Oryza sativa Japonica Group: one gene and its partners. The protein of the gene in region 2 interacts with the protein of the main gene of each other region in a pairwise test. Links are inferred from orthologs where the notes say so. Each region holds a gene or a part of one and is shown on either strand. Other genes may lie near its edges. The genes, in order: auxin-responsive protein IAA33, auxin response factor 11 and auxin-responsive protein IAA31.

Evidence for each region.
Region 1: the proteins of auxin response factor 11 (region 2) and auxin-responsive protein IAA33 interact in a two-hybrid assay, tested with the Arabidopsis thaliana proteins (2 studies listed by BioGRID). The link is inferred for Oryza sativa Japonica Group from reciprocal best matches to the Arabidopsis thaliana genes MP and IAA33.
Region 3: the proteins of auxin response factor 11 (region 2) and auxin-responsive protein IAA31 interact in a two-hybrid assay, tested with the Arabidopsis thaliana proteins (2 studies listed by BioGRID). The link is inferred for Oryza sativa Japonica Group from reciprocal best matches to the Arabidopsis thaliana genes MP and SHY2.

The regions. Positions count from the first base shown.
Region 1 is NC_089038.1:33,839,017-33,842,386, reverse strand, and holds auxin-responsive protein IAA33, read right to left. Parts: upstream 1,541-3,370; 5' UTR 1,359-1,540; coding exon 925-1,358; intron 797-924; coding exon 721-796; 3' UTR 568-720; downstream 1-567. UniProt on the Arabidopsis thaliana protein: Aux/IAA proteins are short-lived transcriptional factors that function as repressors of early auxin response genes at low auxin concentrations.
Region 2 is NC_089038.1:34,411,382-34,416,053, forward strand, and holds the start of auxin response factor 11, read right to left. Parts: upstream 3,044-4,672; 5' UTR 2,619-3,043; intron 1,972-2,618; 5' UTR 1,844-1,971; coding exon 1,753-1,843; intron 1,644-1,752; coding exon 1,531-1,643; intron 1,382-1,530; coding exon 1,283-1,381; intron 1,203-1,282; coding exon 1,146-1,202; intron 962-1,145; coding exon 806-961; intron 719-805; coding exon 634-718; intron 525-633; coding exon 434-524; intron 1-433. UniProt on the Arabidopsis thaliana protein: Auxin response factors (ARFs) are transcriptional factors that bind specifically to the DNA sequence 5'-TGTCTC-3' found in the auxin-responsive promoter elements (AuxREs). Seems to act as transcriptional activator.
Region 3 is NC_089046.1:26,036,617-26,040,890, forward strand, and holds auxin-responsive protein IAA31, read left to right. Parts: upstream 1-1,564; 5' UTR 1,565-1,692; coding exon 1,693-1,844; intron 1,845-1,942; coding exon 1,943-2,305; intron 2,306-2,601; coding exon 2,602-2,680; 3' UTR 2,681-3,581; downstream 3,582-4,274. UniProt on the Arabidopsis thaliana protein: Aux/IAA proteins are short-lived transcriptional factors that function as repressors of early auxin response genes at low auxin concentrations.

The DNA of each region.
Region 1 (3,370 bases), about 570 kb from region 2:
TCCCAATCTCAGTCTCATCCATTGCTATCGTCAACTCGATCGACCAAACTGTTCTTGTGCATACGCGTGTAAATCGATCCAATCTCCAAATTAACAGAAGCAGACGCTTAATTGAAATCGACTTTTATAGCATAGTACGTAGCTGATGCTACACTGATAGATTCGATATCATCGAGATCGACGAGTACTGATCGAGCTGGTTAACTGACGGCTACTTGTAACTGCATCTCTGTATATATGTACCTGCATATCTGCACGTTCGGACAAAGCGTCGGTGTTCAAGAAGCTATCGAGAGACTGATCGATCGATCGAGCAGTTGAGAAACACAAGCAATCAGTGAACACAAGCCCTCACTTTCAAAGCAAGAACACACAAGTCAATCGCAGACGATGACTCACGAGAGAGACGGACACGGCACACGACGTACTCCACGTACACGCACAGTTAAGCATGTACAGCGAACAAGATGTGACACGAGCAGCGATTTGATTAACTAACCTGTAATGAATCGATTAATTAACCTTACTAATTTGCAGATCAATTCAACCGTACGTGCACATTACCGGTCACGATTAAAACGGGATTATAATAACTAACTGAATTTTCTTAACGACGTTACAAACTGATGACAAAAACACAAACTATTTCGATTTCGAAAGGAGGAATACTGGATCTAGTAGTAGCTAGAGGTTTATGTGGTTTAGTTACAAGCGAGCAGATTAAGATTGAGGCCTCATCCGGCTAGATGGCTTCGCCGGGATGATCCGAATCCTCCTCGCCACACGGACGAAATCCCTGACATGGATGTATTGCAGGAGAATCAGATCAGATGAACAGCACACAGAAATGCGTCAAGAATAATTCAGACAAAGCACGAGATGAACACGAAGTGAGATTAACAAGATGAGTGTGAAGCTAATTACTTCCAGTTGAGGTCGCCGGCGAGGAGGAGGTCGTTCTCGATGTCCTCGTACGCGACGACGTGCCCTGGAACGGCATTGGACAGGTCGAGGCCGCCACGGTCGGCGTCGCTGCAGCTGCTCCTGCCAGCTGCCTCGTCGGCGGCGCCGACGTCGTCGTCCGCGTCGACGAACATGCGGCGGAGCGCGGCGGCGAGGCTGCGGTAGCCGGTGTGCTTGCTGAGGTGGACGCGGTGGCAGATGGAGCGGCCGTCCAGGACGACGGTGACCGGCGGCACCACGCCCGCGGTCACGTCGTCGCCCTGCTGCACCGACAGCCTCAGCATCTTCCCGCGGTGCTGCTTCTGCCGCCTCTCCTGCTCGGACGTCGTCGGCGCCGGTAGCCGCCGCTTCGTGTCCTGCTGCTGCTGCTGCTCACCGCCGGCGCCGCTTATCATGGGACGATGGCGGCCGGCGCGATTGATCGAAGAGCTCGCCGGCGCGGCGCTCGTGGCGTGTGGGCGGCGCGGTTGGTTGTGCGTGTGTGTGTGAAGAGAGGCACAGACGCACAGTGAGAGGGGGTGGGTTAAATAGGATGAAGTGGAGTGATTGGAGCACCGTTCTGTGGAAGGTTAATTGTGTCTTTGCCGTGTGAAGCGTGTGACCGTTTTGTAGGAGAAGATGGAGTCATAGAGGCTAGAGTGGAGCTCACTATTTGTATGTTATCCAATTGATTAAAATTTAGCTTGTATAACTTAGAAAAATAAATTAAACTATGGCTAACTAACGTATACTTACATTCAAATTTATTTTTTCAGTTGTAACTTGTAGAAGTTAAATTTGATATTAGTGATTTATCATATATTAATCTATCTTATTAAATTTTTTTATAATTATTTAGATGACATGTAAATAACGAGGAGATATCCCTCGAAAGTTAAGTTTAGAATAGTTTTCGTGGAGTGTGGAGCTAAGGTATGGTTGCAAATTAACGAGATCACTGTACTGCATTTAATACAATACCAGTATTCTTTTCAGTTTTTCTTTTTGTCGTAATGAACTTGGTTTCAATTCAAAATTATATATTGAGAATTGCTAGTAATTAACTAGGGACGACAATAATTCATTTCAATTGAAGAAAGACAGTCATGGGTGCGCTACAGTGCTAGTACGTGCACGGTGTGTGTTATATATATATATATATATATATATATATATATATATATATATATAACACACACAAACACACAAGTAAATTGCCAGCAGGGACGACCGGTGGGACGTCGATCGGGTTGCTTGCAAGTGAGTAAAGGGGTCGAGCAGTAGTGCAGTGCCAGCAACCAACCAAACCCGAGACAGGAATTAAACAAAACTAGCCTTCTTGCCATTTTCTTTCCCCCTGGGGATCGATCGATCGGGTTAGCCGCCCGGGGCGTGCGCGCGCGTCCGCATGCAGCGGCGTCCGGAGAGAAACGAAGAAAAAACGGGAGTCTGCTCGTGCAATCCCGGAGGTCGTGGTGGGGGGCGCGCGCACCGCACGAGACCACCGCGGATACCGTGTGCCGATCGATGGACCTTCGTATACGTGCGACTCGCGCAGCTGGCCGCTGCAGGTCGCGCGGGGGCTTCTCGCATGCGCATGCAGCATCTCGATCGGCGCCGCCCGCGCGGCGACCGATCTAGCTAGCTCGCGTACGTACGTTTCTCCGGTCTTTGCACCCGTCGTGGTAGCTGGAAAAACGGGCGGCCGCGCGGCCGGGGAGACGTTGGATTGGAGCTAAGCTACGGAGTACTATGCGCGGTTGATTTGGTGCGAGAAACATGTGAGTTACAGTTACTGCTGCCTCTATCGTTGTGGTTGGTTGAATTGTGCTCTTACCAGGTCTGTGTTAGAGCAAGTTCAATAGTATAGTCAACTACTAGTTCCAATTTATTTATAGTTAATCTAATAGCTCATTTATACAATAGTTACATACTACACTATTAATATCTGGTCCCACCTATCATACACACACTGCGCTTTGGAGTTTGTGCTACAACTGGCTACAAATCTGTAGCCCGCTGCTCTTAATTACATGAATATTGCGTCTGTAGTAAATTAAAGGTCATAAATAATGTCCGTGTGGATTAAATTCGTGATCGCGCGCACGTACGGTCGTGTGCGTGCAGATCGATCGATCTGGGTGTGATACAGTGTACACCTACAGCGCGTAAGTTAACGTCCTACGTCCATGGCCGTGTGGCTGCCGGCCGGCCGGCCATCGATAGCAGCATGCATGCACAGCACGTCGCAAGACAACGTGTGCGCGCGCGCTATAAGCTACAGGACCACAAGGATCGACGAATTAATGCTAGCTTCGGCTGTACGGAACCCCCTGTTTCGATCGATCTACCTAGCCGCCCGCAATGGTTATATATAGATTCTCTAGAAGATATCCATGTCAGCATATTTTTCTATTTGAAAAAGATT
Region 2 (4,672 bases):
GCAATCAGGAACTTCTGTCAAAAATGGCATTTCATCCTCACATATTTGTGAAGAAAATATTATACTATTACATACAAGCTGTTGTCAGTCCGAGCGAGTAAAAAGTGCGGTGTCCTATAACAGTCATATTCACATTAGAACTGACAAGAAATAGAAAAGTTATTGTTGTTGAGATTTTAATATTCTAGAAAGTTGAATATGTATATATTGGTTAAGGTTAAGTAGATAGCCGCTGTAGGAAAATCTAATACTGGTAATGGACATTCTTTCGAAAGAGCAAATAACATAAGCAGTTCTTGTGGTATTTCAATGCATGAATTGTTGCATAGGGTTTAGTATCAAAAGGCTTAACAATCTCAGATTCAATTTTCTGATAGCACACACAGGTTAAGTAACAAACAGACTTTGCATGTATTTATAGAACTTATTTCACCTTATAAATAAGACAGAGTCCCCTGCTTTTAGACGCTTTGCCCCAACAAAGAGACTCCATCCAGTTGTTAGAAGATGTCGTTTTGGCTGTCCTGCAAGGGACAAGAAAAGAAGAAACTTTTAGGAGACAGTGGCCCAAGAAGCATATATTTATGTATCAATGAACAAGACAAATAAAATCCGAATATTGTTTGACCCTACCACGATAAATGTGACGGAATGTCCACATGTTATCATGCAAATCTCGAACAATAAGCTCCTGGTTAGGAGGTTGCATTGAGTAATCCTGTCGGTACAAAACTTAAACCCATGAGCTGAAGCATTTTTTTACAGAAAAACTATGCGGCAAACAAAATGTAGATAAAGGCTATACCAGTTGTGGGAACAACTTCTCTGCAGCCCTTCGTGGCACCGAGAAACCACCATGTGTACTCGTATCACTTGCGGTTAAATTCTTGCAGAAATATTCAGTGGGGTGCTTGCTTTTGGTATAAGCACCAAGAGTTGGAATAGGGAATACATCCGTTTCCTACAATAGACGGCACAAATAAATATTAATTTAGAATCCATCTTTTATTCCTTGCACACTGAATTTTTGTTTCTGTAATCACATTTTATGCATTTCAATAACAATTGGTGTTTACATTTTAATAGAACCAAATAAAGTAGTACAGAACTCAGTACACAATGTAACAGAGAAACATCATACTTACAGAGTTTACTGGCTGAAGGGTCATCTGTGCATAAACTTCATCAGTGTCCTTGTCGGCCTGTGCAAAACAAACAATCAAGCACAGGCAAAACACATTTGGCCACAAATATGTTTGGAATTGAATTTGCTTGAACTCACATGCAAGGTGATGTTGTGAACTTGACACAGCAACTGAGATGGCAGGTTTGGGTAGTTCGGAATGCGGGAATTTGGAATCTTTCTAGTTGTCGCTGCAACCTGCAAGGGCATCATCCCTTCAACATTGATCATTCCAATAGCAATCCCAAAGTATTATTGAGCATCAATCTGACCAAATTGTTGTCTATGGTTGCAGCATTTCAAAACGAGATTAGCTGCAATTTGTGAAAAAAGACAGTAAGATTGACCTGTTCACTGTGCCCCTGAGGGAAGTAGTACACGAGGCTCCCCCGCTGCGGCAAGCACACAAGCGGCCCGGCACAAGCGTGCCAGAGCTCCGAGTTGATCACCTTCTTGGCACCTGAAGAAGGAACGGACGCTACTCGCATCATGCCAAAAATTGCAACAAATTTGTGCGCAATTATGCATCAACAAGCAGCAGAATCTGACTGAAAGTCTGAAACACTCACCCTGTGTTTCTCCCATGAGCTGCATTTCGTCGAGCAGCGCTGCGGCATTTCTCAGAACACCCGTCTTGGCCTTCTCCTGCGAGGACGCCATATGTCTCCAAGAAACCCAAGAACAGCTGCAATCTGAATGCCAAGATTCTGATAAAACCTCAATTCCAGAGTACTAAGCCAAGCGAGCAGCTTAGCCACACTTCACCATCGACCAAATGTCACAAATGCCTGCATACCATTGCAACAGAGGCAGAGGATATCATTTCATACGGTGTGCAGTGTGAGCAGCAGTCAAAGTGGAGAGCCAAAATAAAATAGGAATTCGTGGAGAAGGGAGGTTCAAAATGCATTGGCTAGCTATAGCTTGGGTGTTGGGTCCCCATGGCGGCCAAAACCACCTCCCTTTCCCAAGAAAGCAGGCGGCTTTTGTGTTTTTACGCCACACAGCTCATGTCTCTAGGATTAGTAGCAGTAGAAAGCTACGCGGAGAGTAGTAGCACTAGTACTAGTAAATGTCACCACGAATATATCAGCTACGTGCTCGACGAAATGCCACTTGGCAATCATCCTCTGCCGTGCAGCTTGTAAATGCAAACACAACTCCAGGCGAATGCCTACGAACAAGGGAACAGGAACGCCACCCCTCTAGTAGCACTAGTACCAGCCCTCCTTCCCCCAGGTGAGGCATTTTCACAAGAAGCGAAGACCATCACTCACCCATGCATATGAATGTGTGATCGTAGTCTCAAGAACATCGGCAATGCCGGAGGGAACACCCAAGATCACCGGATTAGAACAACCAAAAACTTAAAATGGGTAATGCTAAGAAGAAGCAAGTAGCTGAGAGACAAGCCAAGAGCACAGAGCCCACTCACCTCCTGAGAGAGGAGAAGACGCCGCAATGGCACCCCACGAATGTCTCCAGTGGCACCCGCCCAAACCCGAAGTATAAAAAAGAAGCAGCGAGTGTGGCAAAACGCGCAACGCCAGCAAAGGCAAAGCGGTGAAGAGAGAGAGATGGGCAGGCGAGCTCGTGCTACAGCTAGGCCCGGACGCACGCGAGGAGGAAGAAGAAGAGGTTGTGGAGTGGAGTAGACGGGTGTAGGAGTAGTAGTAGGATGGGGGCAGTAGATGGCAATGATACGGAGGAGGGTGGTCGTGCTCCCCTCTTCCCCTTTGCGCCTTTTGCCTTCTCTCTCTTGGTCTTGGCTTCCCAGCCTCTCTCCTGCTGCTGCTGCTGCTGCTGCTGCAGTGTGTGATGCTGCTGACCGCGGCTGCTTTGCGCGAAAGATGCCGACCTTTCGAGGGGGGAAGCCATGATTCCTCATTTGCGCAGGCTCGCTCGCTGCGTGTCGTCCCTCGCTACCCGCTGTAGCTTTTCCTTGCGTCGTCGTCGTCAGTCGATCGCCTCTCTCTCTCTCTCTCTCAATGCACGACACTATCCCCATTTGCTCGCTTCTCTTTCCCATGGTGATCCCCCACTTGTCAGCGCAGGCGTACGTACTGTCCTCGTGTCCAGCCAAACGCGACGCGCCGAGCCGTGCCACATCTCTGTCCCTCCCTCCACCATGCGACGCACGCCACATTTTCTCGGTCTCGTTTTCTCACGCACGCGGCCACGTCTACAACACTAGCAAAAACGTGAGCACAATATAACAGCTACTACTCCAACCGGTAGATCGACGGATGGAAGGCATGGCGTATTTGGCCTCGAAAGGTTAAAAAACAAATGGTACGCCAATAATGAGATTCCCGCGAGCGGTTTGCTTTTCGCTGTTGACGATAAAAAGTCACTTTTTCCCCCTCTTCTTACCACCGCCAGGGATCAACATGAGGAATCATGCAAATCATCGCTGTGGCGTCCGATGACCTACTGCTGCTGCGGCTAGTAGCCTGCTACTACGATCGATCGAGTGAAGTGTGTTGTAGCTCACCACGAATCATTTCGTTTTCCTCACGCTTTTGCACCAGTTGGGACAAAAGGTTCGTTTCGTTTTACAAATTTGCGAAAAGGCATGCGTTTACATGCGTCTATGCCATGCCGTCACAAAAAGCGCGCGATTAGTACGATTACAAAAAGAAGTCATGCGACGACTTTCATATTGTGAGCTGAAAATCCACTAACCTTTGCATTGTATCCAAAAGCAGTTTTTTTGGGACAGAACTCACATCGTGCACAGTTGCATACTCCATCAGTATAGTGTACTGTGCAATTGTGCAGCGTGTATACCTTAGGACATTCATAATGCGCCACTAGTATTTGCGAAGCCTCGCACACCACCTAGATCAGGAACAATGTTTAGCTACATGTGCCACAGTGCAAGTTACTACTTGTGGGTCCCACCAGTATCAGCTTTTACCACTTTTTTCTCTCCCCTCTCTCCTGTCTTCTTTCCCCACCGCATTCACCGCACTGAGCAGCCAAGCGGCGACGGCACCGACCGGAGGGGCGACGGGGCTTGGCTCTCGCCGGCGCACCAGCCTCCTCCTCCCCCCTCCCCCCCCCCCCCCCCGCGGCGAAAAAAGATGAGCGCCGGCGCGCGGAAGTGGAGGAGGAGCTTGGCGGCGGCCCGACTCCCCCAGTTGATCTAGGACGGCATCGGGCGGCGGGGCAATCAAGCGGCGGCCCGAGCTCCTTCCGCACGAGCTGCGCGGCACCGGGCGCGTGCAGCTGTAGGATCGAGATGTCGACTAGAGGGGGGATGAATAGGCGATTTAAAACTAAATAACACCTAATCAAATCTAACTTAAGTTGCTAGGCTTGGTGAGGGTGAACTCTAACTAAGCAACTAAGTTATGTTTTGCAAACCTAGGGTGATAGTGGCTCAATTATATCTCTAGGAAAGTAAATCACGCTCCTATGTCAATGTTTTGCAATCCTAGGGTGATATGATCTCAAAGTGTCTCTAGAAATGTAAATTGCACAAAT
Region 3 (4,274 bases), on a different chromosome or scaffold from region 2:
TGTGATGGTCAAATGGACATGATGTTCGAAATTTCGGTGCAATTGATCATAGGTTGTAGCAAAATTGGCAGAGGGAATCAAATTTTGATGCCATGCTAGTAGCCAGCTAGTGCTGTTGCTAAGCATATCACTGTGTGGTTTCAGCAAATCGAGGGGCAAAAGTTTAATTAAATTAGTAGTAGTTACAGGGAAGAGACTGGTTCACTGCACACATGAATGAGACACTGTACATCACAGTATCTTGCATAGATTGATGGTGAGAACTTTTCATAGTTAATAAAAGGATATAAAATGTAACAAGTTGGGACAGATCAATCGTCTTGTCAATATTAGGAACATCGATCTACAGATCAACCAGTACTCTCTGCATGAACTCTGATGGATCCTAAACTGTTTTTGGCTAGTGCAGATATATGTTAATTACTAAATTGTCAATTAGACAAGTGAAATAAACTTGTAAAGCCAAGCAAATATTTTTTCAGTTTTCTTTCAAGCTGGACCAACCATTCATGACACCCAATAGGCCAAATTAATTAATTAAAGCTTAATTAACTAATTTACCCCTAAGCAAGGGACCAGCTGCTTGCTCTCATCTGAAAAATATGAGAGGCCGCAGCTAGCTTAGCTTTGGTTAGTTAAAGAAACAGCACCGGTGCAAACAAACCATACTTTAGTTTGCAGCTTCTAGCTTTCAAATAAAAAGGGTTAGTTAATTAACAACAACTAACAGTACTCAGAAATTGGGAAATAATGTTTGCACTAAACAAGCAGCCACTAGGTGTTTTAATTTCCCTAGGCCCCCATGGCCAACACCAAAAGAAGAAAGGCCAAAGAAAGAAGAAACAAAAGGTAGTGGAGAGAGATTCACAAGGGGATACACTACATGATGAGAAGCATGCAATAGAATACTGCAACATATGTATACACTCCATGTTACATTGTTCCATGCCACTATATCTTATTGGACAATATGGAGAGGGGGAAACAGCATTGTATATGCCAAAAGATGCTCCCCCAAAGATCTCTAATGATAGCATCCTAATCATGGCTTTGGCACCCTTGTTTAACTATCTCAAGAAAAAAAAAACCTTCAGACCCCCTAACTAATTATCCGGATCCACAGGTACAGAAAACGATCCATACCCAATAACAATGCTGCAACTAGGTACATAGTAGGCTGGATTCTTAAACTCGTGCCAGCAATGCATACATTATAAATAACACTTATCGGATAAGGGTTACGAGGATCAATAACCGATGACCCCGTATTACAATGAACAATAGGGTAGTGGGGGACCCGAAACCCGTTACCCGACGAATCTGCATGAGGCGTCAGGGGGCCCACGGGGTCGGCCCGCCCCTGTCGCGGGCTGACCCGGCATGGCCCTCATGGCTGCACCCTAGCTACCCCCACAACCACCCTCCCAAGCGTGTGGCCTGGCAGTGGCACGTATGGATGTACGTACATGCACTCGTGTGCTCACATCCACATGTGTGTGCTTCTTCACATAGCTAGGGTTTGTTAGCTAGGTCTATAAAACATCGCCATTGCTGCTCAGCTAGCAGCCACGAAGACAAAGTCAGAGGTCACACAGCTCATCGTCTCGAGCTACCTAGCTGGAAGAAGAAGAGGAAGAAGAGGAGGAGGAGCTCGTCGGAGTTTAGTTGGTGAGTTCGCCGGAGAGATCGATCATGGAGAATCTGAAGGCGACGGAGCTGAGGCTCGGGCTGCCGGGGACGGAGGAGGAGGCGGCGCCGCCGCCGTCGACGCCCAGGGCCGGAAGCAAGCGCGCCCTCGCCGGCGAGCCTGATCAGGCCAAGATCAAGCCCGCCGCCGCCGCCAAGTAATTAATATCAAGTTCTTCTTCGTCTTCGTCGCCGTCGCCGCCATGGATGGCAGAGCTAGCTCTGATACGTGTCGTGTTTGCTGCTGCTGCTGCAGGGCGCAGGTGGTGGGATGGCCGCCGGTGAGGTCGTACAGGAAGAGCTGCCTCCAGCCGACGACGACGACGACGAAGAGCAAGCCGCCGCCGGCTGCCGCGGCGGCGGAGACGCAGCAGAAGGAGGATGTCGCCGGCGCCGGTGGGCTGTTCGTGAAGGTGAGCATGGACGGAGCTCCATACCTGAGGAAGATAGACCTCAAGGTGTACAAGGGCTACCGGGAGCTTCGCGAGGCACTGGAGGCCATGTTCCTCTGCTTCTCCGGCGGCGCCGCCGCCGACGCCGCCGTCAACCCGTCCGACTTCGCCGTCACCTACGAGGACAAGGACGGCGACCTCATGCTCGTCGGCGACGTCCCATTCGAGTAAGTTGCTTCCAATTTTTTTTAGTTTAATTAAGTTTAATAAATTTTTTTTACAACTTCTAGTATCATAAATTAGTATCATTAAATCTAACATTAATATATTTTGATAGTATATATGTTTGTCTTTTTAAATGCTACTATGTTTTTCTATAAATTTGGGTTAAACTTAAAATTTGCCTAAAATAAAATCAGAACAGCTTATAATATGAATCAGAGAAAATTGGAACGACTTATAGTATGAGTCAATTATTTACTTGAATTATTTCTAATTAACTCTATGATTGTCTTTTTAATAGGATGTTCATTAGTACGTGCAAGAGGTTGAGGATCATGAAGGGGTCTGAAGCAAGAGGCCTAGGAGCAACAAGGGGTTAAAAACTGAACAACAACAAGAAGAAATCATCATCATGTGTGCATGAGCAATTCTTTTGTTCTTTTTGGGTTCTCCAAGACATGCAATCATCTCATCTCCTCATTGCAACCTTCAAGAAAGAGAGAGAGAGAAAGAAAAGGAAAGCAAAAAAAAAAAAGATGCAGTGAAAAAAATATGTGAAGCTTAATTGGAGTCATCAGATTGCAAAGCATGCATGCATGTGTGGATGTGTGGCTTTAATTTGTTTTTTTCCTCTTAATTAGGTGTTAGAAAACACAGAAGGAATGGAGGTTCGAGTTGAGCCTCCATGTGTGTTTGTACAAAGCAAACATCTTTTTTCTTTTACATGAATGGTTGATTACTTTTGTAACTGGAGGGAAGAAGAATGCATGTATGCATGGGCTGTGTGTACTTCTCCCTCTGGCTTCAATGCTTTGATTTCCATCCAGATTATCATCAATTTGCAAGAACGGCAGAAAATTACTTCTGCATCGTTCATTATGGTTAACTAATCAGTAACAACTTCACCATATGCTCACTTAGTCCACTAATCCTTCACACTCTTGGTGGTTTTTCTGAATCTCAATTAGGAGGCACAAACTTAAGCCATCAGTCATTGCTCTGTTTCCAAGAAGAAGCAGAGAACACAAGACAATTTTCTCCTCTTCAGACAGCATCACTTTGCAAAAAAGGGACAAGCTATGATTCACCCAAGTGACTGAAGTAAAAGAAAATTATAAATATATACAACTGCTTGGTGTGTCCAAATCTTGTCCTTTCATCAGATGCTCCTTGTCTTGACCCTTGAGCAGGTTTAAACATGTACGGAGGGAGAGATTAACAGTTTTAACAATCCAAGATCCAGTTAAATCTTTAATTAACCATTGATCCACTTGTCAAGAGTGACAAAACCAAGCAAAGTAATTAAGCTTTATTAGCCAGAGAGGCAGATAGATCAAGCTGGTCATCAAGGGACAAGCCTTCCATGGTCAGTGCTGAACTAATCTGTGTGCCTGAAACTACACACCCACACACACACAACTCATCCAGCAATGGTAACATGCACCTGTCTAGAGCTAGTCAGACAGACTACATGTGGTGCACATGAAACCCAAGGAAAAGATTAATGCTGGTCAAGGCTATCATCCATCTAGCTTAGCCTCACTCTGATCAGAGAGAGAGAGAGAAACAGGGAGTTCAGAGAGTAGCATCCAATGCAAGGGCACTATACTCCTTGTCTTCTGGGATGGTGTGATGGGTTTTGGCTAATGGAGAACATAATGCCTGGAGATTGAGAGGGTAGTAGGGTCCAAGCATGTGTGTGTGAAGCAGCAAGGAAAATGAGCTGGGAGATGAAGATTGATGCATATGTCAGATGGAGAGTCCCTGTCTGGTTTCAGATTTGCTTGCATGATTGATTAATTTCCTGATGTTATGTTAGGTTCAACAAGAGCTGGGTGTTATATGTGTTAGTGTATTTATTGTGGAGGTTGCTGGTTGGCTGGATTGCTAGCTACAGTGTCAGTGCAAGCACAGCCTGGATGGTTGATGCAGAAGCTATAGCTCTGATAGCTTTTAGTTCTGTCCATTGTGCTG